Caenorhabditis elegans: one gene and its partner. The gene in region 2 interacts genetically with the main gene of each other region. Each region holds a gene or a part of one and is shown on either strand. Other genes may lie near its edges.

Evidence for each region.
Region 1: changes in mec-8 (region 2) and exc-7 are lethal when combined (synthetic lethality), as found in Caenorhabditis elegans (one study listed by BioGRID).

The regions. Positions count from the first base shown.
Region 1 is NC_003280.10:9,572,407-9,585,403, reverse strand, and holds exc-7 (RRM domain-containing protein), read right to left. Parts: upstream 9,434-12,997; 5' UTR 9,097-9,433; coding exon 9,037-9,096; intron 7,116-9,036; coding exon 6,938-7,115; intron 6,212-6,937; coding exon 6,108-6,211; intron 5,605-6,107; coding exon 5,451-5,604; intron 5,343-5,450; coding exon 5,051-5,342; intron 4,957-5,050; coding exon 4,533-4,956; intron 4,485-4,532; coding exon 4,326-4,484; 3' UTR 3,869-4,325; downstream 1-3,868. Other genes in the region: Putative UDP-glucuronosyltransferase ugt-58, read left to right, coding at 1-28, 83-528, 598-910; Membrane-associated tyrosine- and threonine-specific cdc2-inhibitory kinase wee-1.1, read left to right, coding at 1,856-2,105, 2,188-2,690, 2,734-3,096, 3,149-3,439.
Region 2 is NC_003279.8:9,438,559-9,449,395, reverse strand, and holds mec-8 (RRM domain-containing protein), read left to right. Parts: upstream 1-5,168; 5' UTR 5,169-5,200; coding exon 5,201-5,483; intron 5,484-6,011; coding exon 6,012-6,359; intron 6,360-6,597; exon of another isoform or gene 6,598-6,712; intron 6,713-7,116; coding exon 7,117-7,424; 3' UTR 7,425-7,455; intron 7,456-7,877; 3' UTR 7,878-8,386; downstream 8,387-10,837. Other genes in the region: C17E4.10 (PRKC apoptosis WT1 regulator protein), read right to left, coding at 8,631-8,777, 10,540-10,711, 10,761-10,837.

The DNA of each region.
Region 1 (12,997 bases), on a different chromosome or scaffold from region 2:
ATGCAGAAAACCAAAAGAACTTCCGAAGGTTTCAAATTTTAAAAACTTATTTAAAAAATTATAATATCTGCTTAAATTCCAGGAGTTTACCTCTTGGATCTCAGCCTATCCTGACGGTTTCGTTGTGCTCTCCACTGGGTTCACTGTTCAATGGAACAAATCTCCGGAGCACATTCGTCAAGCCTATCTGGATACCTTCAAGTATCTTCCAAATCTCTTGTTCATTTGGCAAACTGGTCTACCAAATTCTTCAAACTTGCCATCAAATCTACTCGTCAAGCCATGGCTTCCACTTCAAGACCTACTAGGTCATCAAAAGTGCCGATGCCACGTGTCACATGGAGGATTGAACAGTGTCATTGAATCAGTTTATCACGGAGTTCCAGTTGTTGGAGTACCATTGACTTCTCGTGGTTATGATAATTTACTGAGAATCACTGCACGAGATAGTGGAGTCATGGTGGAGAAATCGGAGTTCAGTGGGGAAATATTGACTGCCGCTATTAATGAAGTGATTGAAAATGAGAAGTGAGTACATTTAGTTTGATTTCAAAAACGGAAAATTCAGAACGTTCAAATTCAAATAATTGTTTTCAGATACAAGAAGGAAATGTTAATCTTCCAAGATATGGTCATCGATGTTCCATACACTGAACTTTATCACGCTGCGTTTTGGGTTGAATTCATCGAACGGCACCAGGAAGTTCCACACGCTAGAAGTGGAGCAGATCATTTGAATTTTCTTCAATATTTCCTCGTTGATGTCATTGCCTTCTTCTTCTTTGTCATTTTCTGTACTCTTTCAATTATTTATTACACAATTCGGACAGTTTTCCGAACGATTCGTTCAGTGGTGAACGGAGTTCGGGGAGTTCCTAAAATTGTTTCAAGGGGAAAGAAAAACAATTGATTCATGCATTCATTCATTTCGTTTTAATTAGGATTTCTAGGCATTTCTATGGCGACCTACGGGTTTTTTTCCAAAATTTGATAAACTCTGTGATAAATACATAATTGCTGATGATCAATTTTTTTGAAACTACACATTTAAAAGATCTGCAGAAATCAGTCATATTGTGGCCACATTATGGAGAAATTGATGCGGGTAGTATCTACAAAGAGAATATACTTTTTCAGTTTTGTCGGTGACTTCTTGAACATAATTTATAGTATACGTTTTCATGGTTCTGTTTGCGGTTGGCGCAAAGAATTCACAAACTTGGTGCATATTGCATGTTCCGGCTCACATCAGATCAGAAACTTGGTACCTTCAAATTTTTTTATACAAATAAAATTTTCATCAAGTGCATCGTGAATACGAGCTGGCAGGGTTTGGCAAGTTTCTTTAGAATAAACTGACAATGCACAGAGTTAATTTCTGCTAATTGTTTGAAACATTTTGACTGATTGTGAGTTCATAAAGTTCAAAACTCTTCGTAATATTTGAATGTGTTCTTTCTTATTTTTTCCATCAGAGATATTTCTAGAAAATATACATACAACTAGCGTAATATTGAAAGTATACTTTTTGATTTAATCAGTCGGCGACTTCTGTAATTTTGTCTAAAGTATACGTTTTCGGTGTTCTTTATCCGGCTGGGCCAAAGACCTTGCAAACTTGGTACCCGGCCCATCTTCCAATTTATGGCAGCTCACAAACTTGGCACCTCCCAATGATGAGAGGCTCCACCCACTTACAACCAACTCGTCCGCCCCCCGTTGAGCTCACATGCTTACTCTTTCATTATTTCTTCATTTTATTTTTGTTACTTGTGTCTATTTTACTGCTGTTTCCGTTTTCTTCTTTCATTATTTATTTAAAATTTTCCATCGCTTACTTCTTTTTCAGTTTAACATGAACTCAGTTTTGAGTAACATCGAAAAACTGGATACATACATTCTCCGACGAAATGAATATGTAGCTGAGTCTAAAGACGAGCCGAACAAACTAAATACCAGCCGAAAACTGGAAGTCACCACGAAGAAGAATCAATCAAACAATAAAAAAAGACCGCCACCTATAAATAAAGCTCGAAAAAGTCTACCAAGTATTTTTAGAAGAGCTGAGGAAAATAAAGATAGTGCCCAAATTATCACACCAACTGGTAAGTATTTTATCTTTTTGTAATATTTTAGTGTTTGTTTGCTGACAATTTTAGCATGTTACTAAATTTTTTTTGTTTTCAGGAAGTAAAATTATTGGGAGCCCCTTATATAAACGATCAAAATCGGATTCATTTTTCGACCACGCATTCAATTTTGATAAAAATCTTGGGAAAGGCTCATTTGGAGAAGTCGTTGCAGCAACATGTCGTTCAACTTCAAAGAAGTTTGCAATCAAAAAAATTCCATTTTCAAAACTTTCAAAAGATCAATATCGCGAAGCATATGGACACATGAATATTCCATGTCACCCAAATATTGTGAGATTCCACCAAGCATGGATAGACAAACAAATTCTTCATATTCAATTGGAAATGTGCGATAAAAGTTTGGCGGCATATTGCCATGGAATTGATTGGCTGGAAGACAAGGAGCTTTGGAATGTGTTCTTGGATATTTTACAAGGATTGGGACATTTACATAATAACTTCATGCTTCACAACGATATCAAACCAGACAATATATTTATGACAAAGAACAAAGTTTGTAAACTCGGAGATTTCGGATTAATTTCGGACATGAGATCGGTATGTTTTGTAAATAATTTAAAAATGCACATAAATATTACAGGAACCAATCAATAATTCTTCAAATAAACATTATCAATCAGAAGGCGATGGAAAGTACTGTTCCAAAGAAGCAATCAATGGTACTCTCTCAATCTTCAGTGATATATTTTCATTTGGAATATCGATTCTGGAAGTAGGAACCAACATTCATCTACCGAGTTATGGGACAGGATGGGAACCAATTAGAAAATGGGAAATTCCAGAAGAAATATTGGAACCAATGTCAGATGAACTTCGAGAATTGGTGAAACAAATGATGGACAAAGCCCCGACACGAAGACCAACTTGCTCTGAATTAATGAAGAATCATGTAGTGAAAGAGAAGCTAAGAATAAGGAAACAAGAAGTTGAACATATTCCTTCGGTTAGTATATTTCAAAATTTAATCCCATAAAATATTACATCTTACTTTACAGGAGTCGCAATTTCAACCGATATCCTATCTCACAACAGAAAGTCCATTAGGATCACGGGAATCATCTTGCTCATCTATCGATTTTCTTGACCATTTTGAAAATGCTGAAAAAAAGACACCATTTGTGAGTAAGCTGAATTTCGATCTAGAAGATGATGAAGACGAGTATGAAGTCTTCTCTCCACCAAGAACTCCTGTCAAAAAATCGCGATACCAACAAACAATGCCGGAAGTCAGTCCACCCAGAAAGATTCAAAAGTTATTCCAACGGAAAAATTTATTTGATGAATAGGAAGGGAATGTAAGTTAACAGGTAAGTTTGCTCTTTTTTCTTTTATAAAATTCGTTTGTTATTTTGACTTTTGAAAATTAAAATTAGGAAATTAAAAAAAAGTTATTTAGAAATTAACATATCTCAAAAGTGAAAATAGTAATTAGGTGTTTGCAACATCTTAAAAAGCACATTTCACAATTAATAAACTTTCAATTAAAATTGCAATAAAATTACGGGGGAAATTTTCAAAATGTCAATTTAAAATAATAATTTAATTTTCAGGTCCGTTGTTTTTCATTCAGGTTCAATCGGTTAAATATCAATTCCAGTTTTTAACATCTCATATCATCGATTGGTACAAGTTCTTCCAATCAGAAAATCGAGTTCAGTTTTAATCATCAGCTTTGTTCTTCTTTTTTCTATAAAATAAATTATTTATCACTGAAATTGGTATACAATTTTTATTATACACATTTTAGTTTTAATATTTCAAAAAATCTTTGTAAAAGAAAAACAAGGAACCCAGTATAAAAATCAGAAAACTGTACGAAATACTGAAAAGTGACGGAGGATTTGGCATATTTTAGGTAAAATTGATAAAAGTTTTGAAGATGTTAAAGCTGATTCAAGGTTTTGGGACAGGGGTGGGCAGAAGCTCATTATTCTCAAGGGGCGTGGCTTATTTCGTTACCGGAATTCGATTGGTTTTGCTCACAGTTGCTCATGAAAGGGGATGGAACACAATGGGGGGGGGGGGGGGGTGACTAGTAGCACACAAAAAGTGACTGGAATTTCAGAGGGGGAAAATCACAATTTCTTTGGTTGGGGAAGAAGAAGAAAATGAAAAGAGAATGGGAGACAAGTGACTGGAATGATTGAAATTAGAATATTTTTGCAAAAAAGTTTAAGCTCGATATGGAGTTGATGACTTGAAAACTACTTGAAGCGTCTTTCCAGCCAAATTTGTGCCATTCAGAGAAAGCATTGCATTATAGGCTTCTGTGTAGTTGCTCATCGATACAAATGCATATCCTTTGCACTGTTGTGTCAGGTCTCGTAGAATCTCAAATATTTCAAGTAAAAAATTTTCCATTTAAAATTTCTTGCTTACCTTAACATTAACAATTGCTCCAAACTGTGAGAATAACTGCCATAACAGTGTATCATCAGTATCTGATGAAAGATTATATACGAAAAGGCAATATCCAGCAGTATCTGATGGCGGTAACGTGGCAGCAACTGAAGCTGACAATGCAGATAACTGAGCATGAGCTGCTAATCCAGCAACTTGTCCATTTGTTGCCGGAGGGCTCGCTGTTTGTGCAGCATGTTGTTGAGCAACTGCGTGTTGTTGTTGCTGATGCGCTATTAATGAAGCTGTGAAATCAGGTACGGCTGTTGCTGTGGCAAAAGGGTTCAGGCCAGCAAGAGCATTCAACTGAGACATCTGAAGAAGCGCAGAAGTTGTCAAATAGTCAGCAGGAAGTGTAGCGGTTGGCTGGGATACTGCAGTGATGGCGCCCATTGGGGAATATCTGAAATATTGGAAATTGGTCTTGAAAATGTAAAAAGAAGAATATACAAACTTGAAAATACAATTATTATCAATCAAGATTTCTTCGGGCTTACCTGTACTTTGAAGTAATTGGAGCATGGTGCATCGGTCCGATTCCTCCAGCAGTTGCTCTCAGCGTCGGTGCTCCAAGAATTGTGCTCAATGGTACCAGTGTTGTGGCGGCTTGCTGTACGGCTTCCAGATCACTCAGCAGTCCTTTCGGATTGTTACTTGCTGGATTATTTGCGAATTTCACTGTGATTTGCTCTGAACATCCTGATGGAATACTTCCATTTAGTGTTTTAATTGCAACATCAGCTTCGTCTTTTTTGTCGAAACGTACAAATCCAACGCCTTTTGAGAGTCCTGAAATAGCTCTAATAAAAAATGAAACAAATTATATTCCGTAAACAATCAACTATATTTTTCTTAATTTTGAAAATTTACACATTTCACATAATTTTAAAAACACACCAGTTACATTATCTGACAATATTCGAGATGTGATAATCTGTCCAAATGGCCGAAAAATCGATTCCAATTCGTGCAGAGTCATCGATTTTGGAATTCCAGAAACATATAAGTTTGAACCTTTGATTTGATCATTTGATGGACGGGCATATGATACCTGAAAATTTCAAGTTATAGATTACAATTTTAATATTCTAAAATTTAACTTTGTATTTTTACCAGTGAATGTTTTTCTTTTACATATATGAAGAATGCGAATTTTCAAGTAAAAATATAATTAAACATTTTCTAAGCGTTTTGTGCACATCTATTGCTCCTATTAGTGATTGTTTGAAAGACGTGAGACGTTTAACGGACGTTTAGACACACATTTAGAAGCTAAAATCATTATAAATCGGGAAAGGGGTTTCGCGAAATTAAAGTTGAAATTAAATTTTGAAATTAAAATATTAAAATAAAAAGATTGAAAACTTAAAACAAAAATTGCACAACAGGAGCAAGGGGGTGTTTTCTAATAGTCAAAGGAACACCCAAACAATTGAAAAATTAAAAACTTTTTTTGAAAATAAAAAAGAGTGAAAGTAAAGTAAAAGACAAGTAGCATGTAAATCAACTAAAAATAATAATATTTTTCCGAAAAAAAAAAAAAAAAGTTGACACCTTGATCGTCTTATTCTGCAATCGTAGGCCATTGAATGAGCTGACTGCACGAAGAGCATCCTCTTCTCGGACGTAATTAACAAAACCGTAACCAAGGGACTGTCCTGAAATGAAAAAACACCAAATGCCGAAGAGAGAAGAGAGAGAAAGAGTGTGAAAATATAACAAAAGAACAATTATTTATAGGTTACGGGTTTAGATTTTCTGATTGTATTTGTAGAGCTCTCTTTCTGAAAAATAATCTCCCTACATCTTTTTGCTACAAACAGTTTGCTGCTTATTCTAAATTAGTTCACATGATTTAATGGTATGAAACTATTCCAAAAAAGTATTTAGATATCACAACTTTAGAATTTTAACAATCCCTATTCAAAAATGTTTAGCACAAAAAGTGAATGTGAATTCTTGGTGTACAATTGTGTGTGTGTGTGAGTGATTTTGAAAAAAATAATGAAAAGTTGAAACGAATATCAGAACATCACGGAAAAAAGTAATAACCGAAAAATGAAAAACTTTAGGGGGAGTAGGGCGGGCGGGGCAGCAGCAATCACACACGCACACATGTACAGATTTACAAAAATCGATCCGAAAGAAGAAAATAAAATTATTTGTGATCTATCAGAAAAGAGGCGTCAAAATCTAGTTTCATGCTAAACTTTTTCGGCGAGACACAAAAAACGGTTAGAGCAACTCAATTCGTGGTTGGGAATCAAAAATCAGTCAGAAATAAAAATGATAAGGCAAGGGGTGATCTAGCTAGATAATGTTTGGATTTCGAAAATATATAAGTTTAAAATAAAATAATGAATAATATAGAAGTTCCTCCTCACCTGTTACTTTATCTCTGACCAATTTACAAGATTCAATTTCTCCGATCGATGTGAAAAGGGACCGAACTTCTTCTTGTGTCATTCCTTGTGGCAGATAATTGATAATTAAATTTGTTTTTGATTCTCCAATATCCACATTTGGCGCGGAGCAGTATCGTTGTGTACTTGTGTAGGTTGTCTGCAAAAAATATAAATTTAAAATTTAAAAGCGATTTTTGTATAATGGTCCCGGTTTTTCGAATGAAAATCTACGATTTTCAGATGTAAAAAATTCTGAACTCCCTAGATAGAAGTCCCGTTTTTGTCAATTTACATAAATAATACACCTCGTATATTTTCGGGTGCCTAGCATTGGTGAGAAGCGTCGGTAACCCCGGAAATTGTTCATTTTTTTCATTTGGGAATAAATAAATTATTATGTTTTTCTGCCATCTTTGTCCAATCTGACTATATATTCCATTTTTGGAGGTTACATCTGACCCAAAAATATTTCCCCTATGATTTCCAATCTTTCATTCCACCGGGAGATCTCAATTTTCAATTTCAATTCTTTTCTCGCGCGCGGGAGGGCTCTTCGGTACAAGTAACCGGAGAATTCATCCATTTCGCTGTCCATTATTTGGCCACGTCTCAAATTTCCTGTGCGTGAGCAAGTCTATATGGAAGAGATGGAGCCCCCCGCATGTTCTTCCCACCTCCTGGTGTGCTCACTGGAAGAGCAACAATACCCATGGGTATTTGAGAGGGAATAATGTATGAAATGAAATATATGCAAACGTTTTTTTCTACGCTGTTGGAATGAATAGACTTTAAGAGTTTTTTATAGGATCTTTGATTAAAGAGTTCCATATGCGTTTTATAGAAATAAAATTTTGAACCGTCCGGTATTGAGGAGGAACGTAATTTAGCAAAACTGTGATATAAATTCTAGTAGATTTCGAATTGAATTTTCACAAAATTTTAAAAGTTTTTAAATTTTAATTTATAGGTCTTCTATCAATTTTTTGAAGAAACACTTCAAAAAAACTGAAGAAAATCGCTGAGTTTTAGAATATTCCATATATATAGTACCTCTAGAAATTTAAATTAAAAAAAAAACTTCGTTTCTACCAATTTCATTAGTCATATATTGCACAATTATGATATTGTTAATTCAGCTATATTTTTTCAATAATCAAAAAACTTTTTAGAAAAAAAGAAAACAATTTTCAACAGGAAATCTAAAAATCTAGTATTCTCTTGTTATTTTTCAATTTTTCTCTCCATATTTTAATTTTCATGTCATTTCCACTCCCATCCACCAACACCACAACACATCATCATAATATAGGTGGATGAGCACGCAGGAATCTGAGCTTCTGAGCTCTTTCACAAAACAAATATTTTTATTTTTGGTCCTTATTCCTCCCTCATTCCTCCCTCAAGGCGTAATGAATGGGACGTATTTTCGAAAAGGAGTGGTTCGGAAAGGCGGAGAAAAGAGAAGAAGAGTAAGGAAGAAGGCTTCTCGGATTTTGAAAAATTGGCATTTGGGAATTGGGAAGCTTTCTTGAAAGAATGACACGTCAAATGCACACGCATGTATACCAAGTTTGGACTCGGGCTCACTGACGGATTGGACATTGGGGAAGAAACAATATTCAGATTTATGGTTATTACTAGAATTCAAGGCTCAACAATTTGTTTAGCTTTTAGATCTGAACGGAGCCTAAGCATCCAGTTTACCTAGTCCGAATTTTAAACAACTGTCATGATCAGGTTCTAAAAGCTTTTTTTAAACTTTTAATTTAACTAATAAAAAAACCATTCACAGTTAGAACCTGTAACAAACTTACAGCTCTTCAAAATTACCGCAGTTTACTGTTCTACTTTTAAAATGTGTATCTTTGCTATGGTTCTATATTTTATTAGTTGAATTTTTGTTGATAAAATCTTAGGCAACCAAAATATGAAATGTTACAGTCGAGTAGATTTCTGGACTTTTTGTAGACCTCAATGTTCAAAGATTTTGAAAACCGTATTTATTTTTGTTTTTTTTTTCTACTGCTTCTGGACTTTCATATAGATCTTTCCTAATAAAAATTGAAAAAAAAAATTACCTGAACGGGACTCGTCGGAACATTGTTGTTATTCGGTGTTAGCAACGCTTCCATCGTCATTTTGAAGACCGAATTTTGGAATTCAAAAATTCGAATTTCCTATCCAAAAATGCGTCGTTCGTTGTCTTCTGAAGTTGACACACCACCACTTCTTCCACTTGGTCTGTCAGGAAACAAAAGAGGGCTCTTTTCAAAAAGAAAGAGCTCCGGTTGTTGTGAGAGCAAAGAGAAGGAAGAGGAAAAGGGGCTCAGGGGGGCGGGGGGCCCGTCGCGAGGATATATGTAGAAATATGCACAAATGGGCGTGGCCTATTTATATTTTGTGTATGTTTGTGTGCCGCGGCTCCCCGTATATGCTCCGTTCGTTTTGGGCCGGCCGAGACTAGGGGAGATGGATCTGTAATTTCATAGGTTTGATAATTAATTTAAAAAAACATATCAGAGAGCAAGAAAAATAGAAGTGAAATAAAAGTAAATGGAAAACGTTTAATATCAGTGAAACTTTACAGAACTAGTTGTACACCATGATTTTTCACAATCCTACTCCACTCAACTGAAGCTGCAGAATTATGGCAGCGCACAGCATGACATACCTATACTCTGCCACTCAATTCCCTGTTGTTTTCAATTCTAATTAGCTTTGTTATTGGTTTACATAGACGCATGAATATATCTCATTGCCAATGAAAAGAACATTTATTGTTTTTATTATTGCTGGTATGATGCTTAGTTTCTAAATACCTGTGTATGTGTGTAACAGGTAAAATGGGAACTGTACGGATTATGAGGTAGGTAAAGTTTTAAAAAGGCAGATAAGAAGCCGAAAGACTAGGAAACAAGAACTACTAGAAATTGCAGGAAACTTTCCACAATCTATATAAAGGAATTCAGTTGTATAAGATTTTGGATCATGTGCTCAGACGGAAATGAAGGAAACAGGTGAACTTGACACATTATATGGATACGTATACACGCCAATTACGGCTTGAATAAGTGTATAGTGAGGGTCCAGACATTACAAGAATACAGTGTGAAAGCTGAATTTCATAATTTCCAACATCATAGAAAAAAGAATAAGAGCGCATCATGATTGAGGATTTTTGTGAGGGCAGGTGTGGAAACAATGGTTGATCAAACATGACTGACCTGGTTAGTGAAGGATATAGGGGAAAAGGATTGAAGATGACACGTATTTGAATAGGTGTTCGGTAAGAGGGAATACGTGAAGCCCGGTGGAAATTTTGTGGCTCTGGGAAGTTTGAATTTTTAAAGAAACGTAGGGGCTACGAAAGAACGAGTTAAATAAACCTATAGAATACCATCAACCATTCTACAGTAACCCTGTTACTTGCTCCGATTCCAGTTTTCTTGAACTGGAAACACTCCATCGCAAGTTTGCACCATCTAGTCAAGAAAATATCCAAATGCTTCTGCAATTTTGCAACAAAAAAAAAGGATTCCGCTGATCTTGAGAATATCCCAAAACCTGTCTAAGCACAAAACTTTGGCAATTGGTCACTATGGAATGCTAGGAAACAATAAAAAAAATCGACATCATTGTCATCTCAAAATAACTACCATAGAAACGGTGATCGACGATGAAACGCACTCTTCAATTGTGGTTTTCCATTAGTCCTCTTCTTCACCGCCTCTCGTCCCACCCCATACAAATACACACGACACGCACAGTTGAATGAACAACAAAACCTGAATAGGTAGAGAGGGGGACTCAATTATGTGTTAGTTAGGTAGAGGGGGGTGGCCCCCATATTGTTGTGTGAAAAGTGGTGCAGAGGAGAGGGCGGCCGGATGAGAGTACGTACCCCCGCGTCGGCGAGATTCATAATTGCTCAGGCCCTTTTACAGGATACAGTATTTCATGCCTTCGATCCGTTCCCAATAATTAGGTATGGCCCTTCCATTTGGACTTTTGGTTTGAGATAAATGACTACTAAGTACTTCAAACTACATTTAACCCTTGCGATTTTGGACTTTTCGGGAATTTCGGATTTAGGGGTTTTCGATTTCACAAATCACGGATTCAAAGACTGTAAAGTTCAAAGCACGGTCAATGGAGGATATTTTCGAAAGTTTACTGCAAAACTTGACTTTAGAAGAAGGAGATCACGATCGGATTTAGATTTTTTAACTGATACAAATTGCCAGTAGGAACTTTTAATATGAAATGCATATGATAATGATTTTAAACATAAAGGGTAGGATAGTTCCTTATCTCCATGACAACACGGTATTTAGGAGCAAATTTCTGTCAATCTGGCAAGGTTATTAGAAACAGATATAAAATTGCTCCCAAACGCCGGAAAGGGTCATTTTTTGAAATATTTTTATTGGTTTCTGAGGAAGTAAAACTACTAAAAACGATAAAAGTTCTATTCAACCATGGAAAAATGATCTATAACCAACTTATATGTAAACTGACTGAGTAGCGACTCTGTATCATAAGCAATCTAGTTGTTACCCCTCCAAAGGTCCAATAAACAATAAAAGTTGGATAAGTGGAATGGGTATAAGTGAATATAAACGAATGCGAATAAGTGGTGGATATCGTTCGCTCGTCATAAAAACTTTGATCTACCTCCCACCAACCATACGGATTTCATATAAAACATATAGATATTGGTTATGAGAGAGAGACAGAGAGAATTAGAGAGGTAGAGAGAGAAAGACAGTGAGAACTGTGTGTGACCACACACGGAAAAGTAGAAGATAATGAGGATGATGATGATGATGATAGAAATGAAATGAAATGCAAAACTAGATTTTTCCATCCATCTACACCACAACATTCCCCCGCACATGATTTGAAATAGGGGAAAAAGAGACGAATTTCGGTTGTTATTATGGTTGATTATATGACACACATAATGTATTGGATGACAGTCTGTGGGATTATCTAGCGTCTGAAAAAATGAAACTGGTGAAAAAACACTTATAGACTTGGTTTTACTGGCACATGTGCCAAAATAAACTGATCTCGTGGTTTTAGTCTCAATGATACGGTACCCGGTCTCAGAAATTCATACCAAAAAAATCATACCCAAATTTAGTTACTAAAAGTAAGTTACTCTTTGACGTATTGTGACATAATTCTAGGAACAAGTTTCTGTTATTTAACACTAAAGAATTAATGTAAAAATCAGTTTGGCAGATGATTCAACACTGACAATTCGACAAAGAGGCGAGAACGGGCGGTGGTAACGTCGGCGAGAATATAAAAAAAATTACGGAAAATGAGTGGGGGAAACGAACGACAAAACTAATACACATTCATCGACACATGTGGAATTGAAAGGAAAAATCGTTGGCAAGGAACACAAAAAATTTTGAAATCAAAGTAATGAAACCCACGACAATGAGCAGATGAGAAGAGGAGGAGAATGAGAATGTAATGAAAATGATAAAATGAGATTTTCTAGGAAAAATCCGCTTGGTGTGAAATATTTCAGTTGATGTGTAAGAGATAGAAAGTCACTTAGCGACATCACCAGGCAACATGTAGAATAAAGAAAGAAACCCTCCAGAAAACATAAGTATCGGTTTATAACAAGAGTTGTTTTAAAGAATTGGAGAGGTGAACAACAATGAAGAAGTCAACTAGACGTTCACTATGGAAACAAGTGTTACGAGACGCAGAGCGCAATACACATGAATTCAGGTGGTCTAGGTAACAAATATTTGAGATCTAGGTTTGCACTGAAAAGTTAGGTAGAGACAAATTGGGTTCTACGAGAATTTATGCCATGGAAAACTTGTTAAACAAAAAAGAAACTTGAAGAAATTTTTAGAAAAGACATTCCAGAAACCTAGTAACTTCGCACCTCCAATGTTATAACCACCTAGAAAACTTCCGTGGATAAATCTGCCGTAATCAGCTAGGCAACTTGGTATTTCCTCCTAACCCAATACAATACGGAACGCTTCAAAAAGCGCGAACCGCCAG
Region 2 (10,837 bases):
TTATCTTTTCGTGTATTTCGTGTATCTCTCTTAGCTCCCAAAAATCTTCCTCTGTCTTTTGCTGGTGACTTTGAGCAAGAAAATCAGATTAGATTTTAGATTACCATCCTCGTTTTTCTTACCTTATTACATGATGTATAACGATTGTTTTATGGCGGTGAGTATAGGTCACTTGGTCAATTGGAAATTTCATTCGGTTTTGCTTTTGTTTTTTCTAACGTAAATAGAAATGTGAAAAAAGTATTCAATTTCATCAAAGTTTACCGCAGCTTATATGTATTTATACCGCATACTTTTCTGTTCAACTTGTTTGCCAAAGTTTCTTCTGACCCCAATCTGGGCCTAATTTCAAAACTCTCATTTTCCATGGATTTAACTAACCTTGACCAGATTGTTATTCTAGATTACAAACTATTTGAGGCATAAAATTAAATCCCTTTTTGCCTAAGATGGATCAATTACTGTATCAAAAGACCATCCGACTATAAGAAAATTGCCTCCTAGTTTGCATAAACTGTTGTTGCATTTTGGTTTGAAGGCCCTTCATCCCCTTTTTATATTATTCCGGGATCCCGCGCAAAGAAGGGAGTGGTCGGCTGTAGATCAAACATCTCCGAACTATGTGTGAATCTAATAGGTTTATGGGTTTTGATCACGCGTCTGTGCAACAAAAATGTTTTACGCATTTTTGAAAGTGCAGCTACGGTGATGAAAATTGGTTACAAATTTGAAAGTTCCGCAACAGAGATTTGTTTTGTTGGAACATGATGGCTGAAATCTAACACTTTAATAAGGTCCATGGATGCAATGAAAACGCTCAACACTCCCCGTCGCCCTTGGAGAGCGGGTGATAGAATATTCTCAAAATTTTCAACACAGGAACTGTCACAAGGTTTTTATGTACATCTCGTTAAATTAGTTTGTTGATGCTTCTGTGCTAACACCGTAAATCCCGAAGCCCTCGTGATATCTCCTTCCGATTGTCATGAATCTAAATCATCTTGCCCTTTCTCTCTTTCAACATCATCTTCATAATTCGACACTACCTATGCGTGTGTTCAAAAGAAACATACAAATAGACACATAAAACCGGGCGGCCTTCTTCTTATTCTCATTCTCATTGCCGACGCCACACTCGAGAAATACCACCGGTGTAGGCATTCTTCACGCATAACTAAAGTGATGGAGGCGCCAGAGTGCGCGTGTAGGTACTGTCGGATCCTAGAAGGGCGGTGCCTGTAGTGTGAGATAGTGAGAGAACAAGAGAAGTAAGACTGTCTCAGCCTGTGTATGATTTGGTAAGAAATGTGCGCTCACGTAATGTGTACCTTTGAGAGATGAATGTGAACAAGTATTGCCCCCTTCGTATTTCCGGTCTTTCGGTATTGTTGTAACTTATAGTTCTCATTTGTGTATGTATGTGTGTCTTTTTTAAATGACCACAACTTTCAAAGAACTTATATAAGTATATTCATTTCATGTGATCTGAAATTTTTAGACAATATGTCTTATTCTAAAACTAATTTACCAAGCAAGTTTTTTTTTTTAATTATCATTTTGAACTTCTCTCGTTTCATTGTAAATAAATGAGTTTCCATAATATAATTGTATTTCTCAGAGGAGATATTTGGAAAAGTTTCACTGGGAGATTTGATTATTTTATAACTATAGGACACTTCAAGCTGAACTTGAAGCTTCTCTTCGAAATATTTAAGTTATGCTCGAGCATGTGGCGGTGCAAAAGTACCCAAATCATAATTTAAGAGCTACCTGAATAATTATTTCTGTCCATACTAGGAGGACCAGACTCACCTGCGCGACTGTACTATTCGATATTATCATACATCCATAATATATCGGATGCATATCTTCTCGTCGTCGTCTCATTTTCTACGAATGGCAGAACAACCTTGGACCGATACAGTCTTCATGTCCTTTTCCACCGTCTTTGGCCCCCCGCGCAACTATGACTCTTTTCTCCTCTAAATTCTACCTGACGGGACGGGACGTCGTCAGATGGAGAATAGATGGAGGCGGAGAGACCGAGACATACATTTAGCCCAACCCGCCCCAGGTTCCCTCATCATCATTCTACTCGACAATCCTCTCCTCGTATTCATCTCTCTGTCTCTCTCTCTTTACCTCTATCGCATTACCTGGTTTTTTTGTATTGACCGGATTATGGATGATCATTTAAAAAATGAACGTTCAGCCTACTTTGTTTTTATTATTTAAAAAAAAATCGGTGTCCAGATGAAGTTGAAATCTCAAATTCCAAATCCCTTTGTTATCGTCATGAACATTCATTCTAGAGTCGGACTGTATTTTCAAAAATTTGATATTTTTAACCTTTTCCTTTAGTTCCGCATTGAGTTTAAATTTACAAAATATTACAGAAATTCTTCAAGTTTATAAGATCACTTTCCGCGACTAGAATAATCCTAATTGCTAAAATTTGTTTTACCAAAAGTTATTCAATAAACAAAACATTTTTTATTTCTCGCTCTCTACAGCTTTTTATTTATTAATCAATACTATGAACCGAAGTATAAAATGTTATGATTACTATTCTCTTTTCCTGAAATTGTTCCTGTAGTTGTTTGCATTTGCCAAACGCGTTCTTTCTTGCAATTGATTTATTGTATTGTATTGTCGTCTCCAGCCATACAAACATGACAAGTCCATACACATTCCCATAGATTCAATTCGCAACAAAAGGGAAGATCGTTGTGGTGGTGGTAGTGGTAATTGTAACGACAGAAGACATTGTCTAATTAGTTCCAGTCAACTGAACCAAAAAAGGACGGTAGCACTTTTTTTGCGGTGATTTGGATTTCTTTTTTTGCATTGGTTTTGATGTTATAAGTGTATGTACAAATAGTTTAGTTCTTAGTTCAACTAGTATTCAATTTGAACATTTTACTAAATTTGAAATTGCCAAGTTTGTATTTTAACCAATTATACTCAAAATTCCCTTTCAAACTTACCAAATTCGACAAATCACTCCAAAAATTAATTTTCTATATCCTTTTTTATCCTCTAGAAATGATACTCAACTTTTCAAAACTCAAAAACGTTTTCCTTGGTCATTATTCCTATATGAAACTCTTTAATGACTAAAACTGAATGACGTACCCACTTAAAATTCAATGAAGCAATTAATTGAATTTCTCCTTCTTTGTGAAAGTATATACAATTAATTTTGTAAACAGAAAACTTTTAGAATTTAAATACCATGTGCAAAAACTTTGAAATTTTCTTATCAGCAATCTCTATCGCAAAAAAATATTCTCACTTTTAAAACAAACATTGATAAGTTTATGCTTTTTGAATACTTTCTATAGTTTTCATCAGCTATAAAGTTCCATTATGCAAAAGGAAAAAAAGCTCAAATTTCGAAAGGCAAAAAACTAGGGAAATGTAATTCCTTACTCCTTCTGCTCCTCTTCTCATTTTCTCTCGCGTCTCTCTCACTCTATTTATGACATTTGCCACCCCTCTCCTGGGTTCTCCGGAGCACGGCGATGCTCCGTGTGCTCTTTTTTTATTTCCTCTCAACTGGCCTAGAATAATTTCTAGGCCATAGGTGAGAGTTTAAAGGTAGTACACGCATAAGCTAAAAACCCATCAATGAAGCAAAAAAGCTTCTAGTTTCTGACTGCCAAATTCTTGTTCCTCTATCTATATACCTCCCTCTCCCAGTTTGTATTTCTCATACGAAGGTCACTTTTAATTTTCTCTTTTTTCCCCATTTTCCCATCACTTTACCCCACCAACAGGTGGCATCTTTTCTCCTTTTTTCACATTTTCTCATTATCATTATCTTGTCAATAAGTTCCCCCATCCATTTTTTTTTTCTTTCAAATAATGCTTTTCTTATCAGTGTCCCATCCCCCAATCATTCCACCCCCAGTACCCTCCTTGTCTAGTTGTTTTTTCCTTCCTATTAAGGGAGTGTTGGTGGTCGTGTCATCTTGTCTTGTATCGAGGGAAAATACTTTTTGTCAGTAGTTATTTGTTTGTGAGTGTGTAATTTTGAAATGAACTGCGAACGGTTTCTCTAGTTCAATATTTTTTGTAATCACGCTATTTAAATTAATAACTATTGGTTTTATGGCAAAGTGATTCAATTTTTAAAATTTTCAGAAAATTTCTTGTACTTTAAGTGGCTTGAAAGCTCAACTGTATGGTTATGCTCTGTTAAAATTAAAATAAAAATGCAAAGAAACTGTAAGATCCTTTGGCCTATTTCGTTATTCCAAAAAGGCTTCATGGTACGGCAATTCAAATTGACAAACCGTTTCCCTTCTTTTGTTTAACTCTTTGTGAAGAGTTTCTATTAATTTTAATTACATTGTTCTTTCCAACTTGTATGCATGCGACAGTAGCCCTATTTTTTCCGAGCAGTTTCATCTCATTATCGTCTGGTAGTAAAGGATATGTTTCACACCCCCTTACTGATTTTCATCAACATATTTTGCTTTCTACTTCTTTGAAAACTAACTAGGCGTTAAAGCAAGGCCCAAAATTATATAGCTGGTAGGATGGTTAAGAGGCGATTGAGAAAAACCCATCACGTCTCAACCTGCTAGAATATCTAGAATTTACCCAAAAGCTCAAAAGCTCAGATCACGATTTTTTACATATTAAAAATTTCTTAAAATATTGTATTTTATAAACCAAATCCACTCTCCTATATATTTTCTAATCCTATAATAAGCTTCCCTTGTAACAGCCTGGTTTAATGATTAATTATGACGAAATACATGTATAAGGAGAATGTCATGTCCCATCTCAATCTCCTTTTGGTTCTCCCGCCAACCCGATTGGCTCCTTGTAGTTGGCTCTCGGCACACGACGTCTTGGTTGCTAGGCACCATTTCTCTACTTTCTCTCTTATTTCCTACCTTCCCTACATCTTCCGCTCAATTTATGTGCCTCCTCCGACACAACATTCGACATCGCCTCTTCGCTCCTCCCATCTTTTTGCCTTTTTTCCATCGTTTTTCATAGTCATCCATCCATCCCATCATCATGACGACGGACGATGATTCTCGTGTATATGACTCCACTTCTTTAGCACCTCCTTCCTTTTTAAATGTATTCCTATTTCTTTGTCGCCCCTTTTCACAAGTTTCCCCACCATTTCCAATCACATTTTGTTGCAGCCATAACGATTGAAAACAGCCGCAAACGGAAGATGGACGGCCCGAAGCCGAACCTGGCGTCGGCCGCTTCGATGGAGTCGTTGAACAGTGTTTCTTCTGAAGCAACGAATCCATCACAGGTCCGCACCTTGTTTGTTTCGGGTCTTCCAATGGATGCTAAGCCGCGTGAGCTTTATCTTCTGTTCCGTGGATGTCGTGGTTATGAGGGAGCTCTTTTGAAAATGACATCGAAGAATGGAAAACCAACGTCTCCAGTCGGATTTGTCACCTTTCTTTCGCAACAAGATGCGCAGGACGCCAGAAAAATGTTGCAAGGTAAATTTGTTTTCTTTACGTGTTGTCGAAAAATGTTCGATATACATACATTTCAGCAGTTTCTGCCATCTTTCTAGCTCAAATCTCCAACTTTCGTGTAACAAAATTAACGTTCAGCAGAGACTTGCGCTAGAATTTGCGCTTTTTTTCGAATTGGCATTGCTCCCATGTTACTAGAATTTGGCAGCTTATATCTCGTTTAACTTTGAGTTAATCAAAAATGCATTGGCATTGTGATTGAGAAGTTGTTGATATTTCAAAAAAACCAATCTAAATAAGATTAGTGAGAATATGACACAAATTCCTCTAATTGTAAGGTGCCTTTTTTGTTTTGAAATATTTATTTGTAAGATTCTAGCTAGATTTTCACCTGTTTCCTTTCCAGGTAGACCTGTTGACAGCTTTCCAACCAAAAGATTTCACACCACAGTAGGCATTTCTTGTCATTTTCTTTTTTGCCAATTAAAAAACCAATCAACATTGTTCCCACACACACACATACGACAACGAAATTCTTCAAATTTTCAGGTGTCCGATTCGATCCGGAATGTGCACAGGTACTTCGACTAGAACTTGCAAAATCGAACACAAAAGTAGCTCGACCTAAACAATCTCCACCACCACCACAACATGCGGCACTATCAGCCGCTGCAGCCGGAGTCCCGCAGTTTTTGGCACCAATGCAACACGATCTTCTACTAGATCCTCAATCAGCAGCTCTTTTCAATGAGCAACAACTATTGGCTCTTTCACTTCCACATTTACATGCTGCACAGGCACTTCAAGCAGCCTATATGCCAGCTTCTGCTCTACAACAATACAGTCAGAATCAATTGTTTGCAGCTGCTCAAATGCACCCAGCAGCCGCTGCAGCAGGTAAGAAATACTAATCACATTTTCTGGAAATTCCAGAAAATAATTTATAATTATTTTATTTCCCACAAGTCTCCCACAAACTAATTCCTTAATACACAATTAGTGATCACGATGGTTAAACTATAGCCACCGCACAATCACTATGTTCCACACATTCACAACTATCAAATCACTGTGTACACGCTATCCACTCACTGAAACTCTCACCATCACACATCACACTATTCTGAACTGTCTCGTAGTCCTTCTGTATCCCATTAGTTTCAAAATAGAGTCTCTCAGCTAACGGGGTTACTGTATGTTTGAGAAAAAAAACTTACTGTCATATGTCGGGATTTTGTTTTAAATATCACCAAATAATTCCAAAATATTTCTTAAAAACTTCTTAGAAAAAAATAGGAAAAGTTCAAGAAAATTCGATATGGAAAATTTAACCGCGTAGAAGGAAATTCGTTTTATAACCATTAAACTCATTTGAGAAATATTAAAGAAAAGTTGTGACGATATTTTTTCCGGAATTCATATCTCTACGGCTTTATTTTTTAAAATAAGCTCTTCCAATTTATGGCTGCCGGTTTACCTCAAAGTTTCTCCAGCTTAACCAAATAGTTTTGTATTCTTTATTTATTTTAGTAATTTGGAGCAATCTAGAACATAATCCTCGCAACTTCAACCCCGTTAGCTGTTTCTCTCTTTTTAAAAATTTCCAGACCTCCTATGACATAGCTATTTAAATTAGAGCCAAGAGAATTTTCAGCCAGCCTCCAACATTCTCAACAAGCATCTCAAGCTTCCACCTCTGCGTGCTCCACTCTTTTCGTCGCCAATCTATCGGCTGAAGTGAATGAAGATACTCTTCGGGGTGTATTCAAAGCATTCTCTGGTTTCACACGTCTACGACTGCACAACAAGAATGGATCATGTGTGGCGTTTGTTGAATATTCGGATCTTCAGAAAGCAACTCAAGCGATGATATCACTACAAGGATTCCAGATAACAGCCAACGATCGAGGTGGTCTTCGTATTGAATATGCTCGGAACAAGATGGCTGATGTGAATGGATAAGAAGAGAAGCAAGAATTCTTTGCAGTTTTGTGTATGTTGTATATCTCTTTTGAACAACCATTTCCTTTTTCTCTCTTTATCTTTTTTAGCACCCAAACTTGTAAAATTCATCCCCCTCACACACTTGCTATGTATCCTTGTGTATGTGACACTTAACACGTACGCGCACACCTAACAGGTATCCTTCTAGATTACTGTAGTTATCATCACACAGAGAAAGGGATTAGCTCAAACACTGTGATAATGAGTTTTTAAAACGAGTAACCCAACTGTGATGCCAAAACAGAAATGTGATAATTCAACGCCTGCATAATTAAATTATAAAATGCTTGACAAAAATAATAATAACTATTAATAATAATAATAATACCCGAAAGCCTTTCAACTGCCCCTCCGACAATCCACTCTCATTTTAAAATCAAACGGGTCAGAGACAAATCCTTACAATTTCAGTTTGGGAAGCGCACCACCATCACCAAATGCACAATCATCACTCAGCAACTACTACTTCTACTTCTTCTTCTTCTTCCTGTGCACAACCACCACCACCTCCACCAACGTACACCCGCTCTCATTACACTTAGTGCATTTTCGTCCTTTTTTCATTTTACTCTCCCAAAAAATCACCAAAAATCCTTTCGGATCTCTTTTTATTCGCATTTTATTTTCCTTTCTCTTAATTTTTACAAAATTCGAAGTGTTTGTAAGCACCCTACAGGAACTTCTATTGTCTTGACCGTAGAGCTCCTTTGCATCATATCTTTTCTATTTCTGATTTACTCTCTGTAAATATATATCACGAGAGCTTATCCACCTGTCTGTCTGTCCGAACCTGAAATTTTCTGTGATTTGTTCTAATTTTTCATAAGATCCTTTTTCCCCTTTTACCACCAATCATCATGCATTCCAGTCTCTCTTCTGTTGTAATTTGAAAAAGCTTTTGTAATAAATTTATACACTTTATTGGTTGGTTTCGTTGTGAATTGTTGTGATTTCAATAAGCCGTAAGCAAGTGAGAAAAAAGCGAGTTGGTGAATGGAATGAAGTAGGAAGTTTTGGAATTTGGAAAGCTCGGGAAATATGTTACAGATTTCAAAGAAAATATGCAATAATGGCAAAATGTGATAAAACAAAGACTTGATTGAGAGATTACAACAATCATAGGAATCATGGGATGACAAAAGCACCTATATGAATGAATAATTATTATGATGTGGATGTTGTAGTAGATCTTGATGTATTTGGAGCATCTGACTGAGATGTTGATGTCTCTATTTCCTGTAGCGTCTTCTGCAAAAATTCGATCCGTTTGTCCTTCCAGTCGACCTCGAACCGAAGGCTGTCAATGTCACGCTGTAAAAATCAACTTTTAAAAACTGGCGGTGCGAGTCGGCGCGCAAGAAGGAAGTGTCCAAGTATGTATATATGCAAATAATCCTCGATCCCCCTCCACCACCACACACTCCGGAAATGCATTGAGAGTGTTGAGAAGGTCTTATTTGTGTGCATGACTTTGGATGGAGAATCGAGGAGAAGGTGGCAGCAGTCAAGGGATGTTGAGGTCTTTTTCGTTTCAATGAACCATACCATAATCGGACAGGAAGTTTCGTGTCAACGATATTTCAAGAAAAAAGGAAACTACTAGTGTGATGATTCCGGGGATTTTTTTTTTGAGGAACTAATGCATTCATTTTTTTTTCAAAATTTTCTTTCTAAAATGGTTCGGTAATTAGGAAATTAGGTAGACGGAACTTTTGGGATTGAACAAAAACTATCAAATGATTAAATTTTTTAAGCCACTGAAATGTATATTACTATGTTCCACATTCTACATAGATGCCACTTCAAAATACTTGGTTACTGTAGCTCAAACTTGACATGTCTGTGTTATTAACCTAGTTGGCGCCGTCCTTCGAAGACATGAACATGAAAGTTGTGTAATAAACCAAAAATTATCCACTCTTTTTCTCTCTTTCCTTTCCTTCTTGATTTACAATAAAAACTACTACGCTCTCTCGACATATTTGTGAATTGTTGAGCATAAAGGAATCGAAAATCGCCGAGTATTGTCCGTGTATTCAATTGACACGGGTGGAACAGAGAAGGAGTCTGAGTGAGTGATTGAAAGAGAAGAAAGATCATTAGGTACCAAGTACCTTGTGCTCATACGATTGACATTGTTGGCTCATCCACTTCACGCAATACTAGAAAGAGACGGAGAACACGGGTTACACACGGACATTCCCCAATTTTGACAATCATACAGATTTTGTAGAAAGAAATTTCGAAATCAGGGGTTTGATTTGAAATAGAAGAATAGTAGTGAAACTTCCAACACGACCATGTGTCGATTTACGCAGCTTGTGTACTACTCGAGGAGAAGTGTGAGAAGTACACGAGCTGCGTAAATCGACACAGAGCCGGGTTGGAGCTTTCACGGTCATTCTTTTTTTCATGGGGTCTTAAAGCCCATAATATTACCCAGACGAGAAATTTTGCGCTAAAGATACGGTATCGAATCGACAAATTTTTTTTCAAATGCATAAAGGTGTACACCTTTAAAGGGTACTGTAACTTCAAGCTTTTGTTGCTGCCTAATTTTCATTAATTTTTCAATGTTTCTAAATTACAGTACCTTTTAAAGACGCACACCTTTTTTGTAATCAACCGTATTTTTAGCTTAAAAATCGAAAAATATCGCGTCTGGATAAGATGTATACTTCTAGGAAAAAACAAAGATTTCCATGATCTATCTCGTTAACCAATTTTGAAAAAGCGCACTTGAAATACTTTCCCGTTGAATACTTAAAGCTTTCAAAAAAACTGACGTTCCGTTCGTTTTTCAAACATTTTCCTCTCATCTTTACCCTCTTTTACTATTTTTCTAGGTCATCCGAGGTGTAATTAGACGGCAGTCAAAGAGGTATTTCTGTTTGTATGTGCGTGCAAACTTATATTGCCACCTATTGTAAATCCTCTACTTCTTCCGAAGTTTTTTGTCCCCCTTTCCCTGCCTACCACCTATTTTCAATTGTTCAGGTCACGGGCCACTTTAGCCCAACAATATGAGTAACTGACAGAGAAAAGTGAGTTCAAAGGGGCCAAGACCAAGTACCTGTTGAAATTCACAAATCTTCTCGAGACGAGAACAACGAACGTCGGTTTTTCGAAGTTGTTTTTGAAGTTGAAGAAGGGATTGTTGAAGAACACCTTCTTCGCCTGATGACGTGGCAGGCGTGGCATCTTCTGATTGATTTTCGTAATCGTCTTCAGGATTCATAGAAAACCTATAATATACAAGATTTCTTTCATAAACATTTTTTAGAATCGGCTCACTCTGCTCTTCGAGGTGTTGAACAATCGGCCTCAAGCTCATAATGAAGTGGGAGACTTGTCGGTTTCTCCAGTTGCTC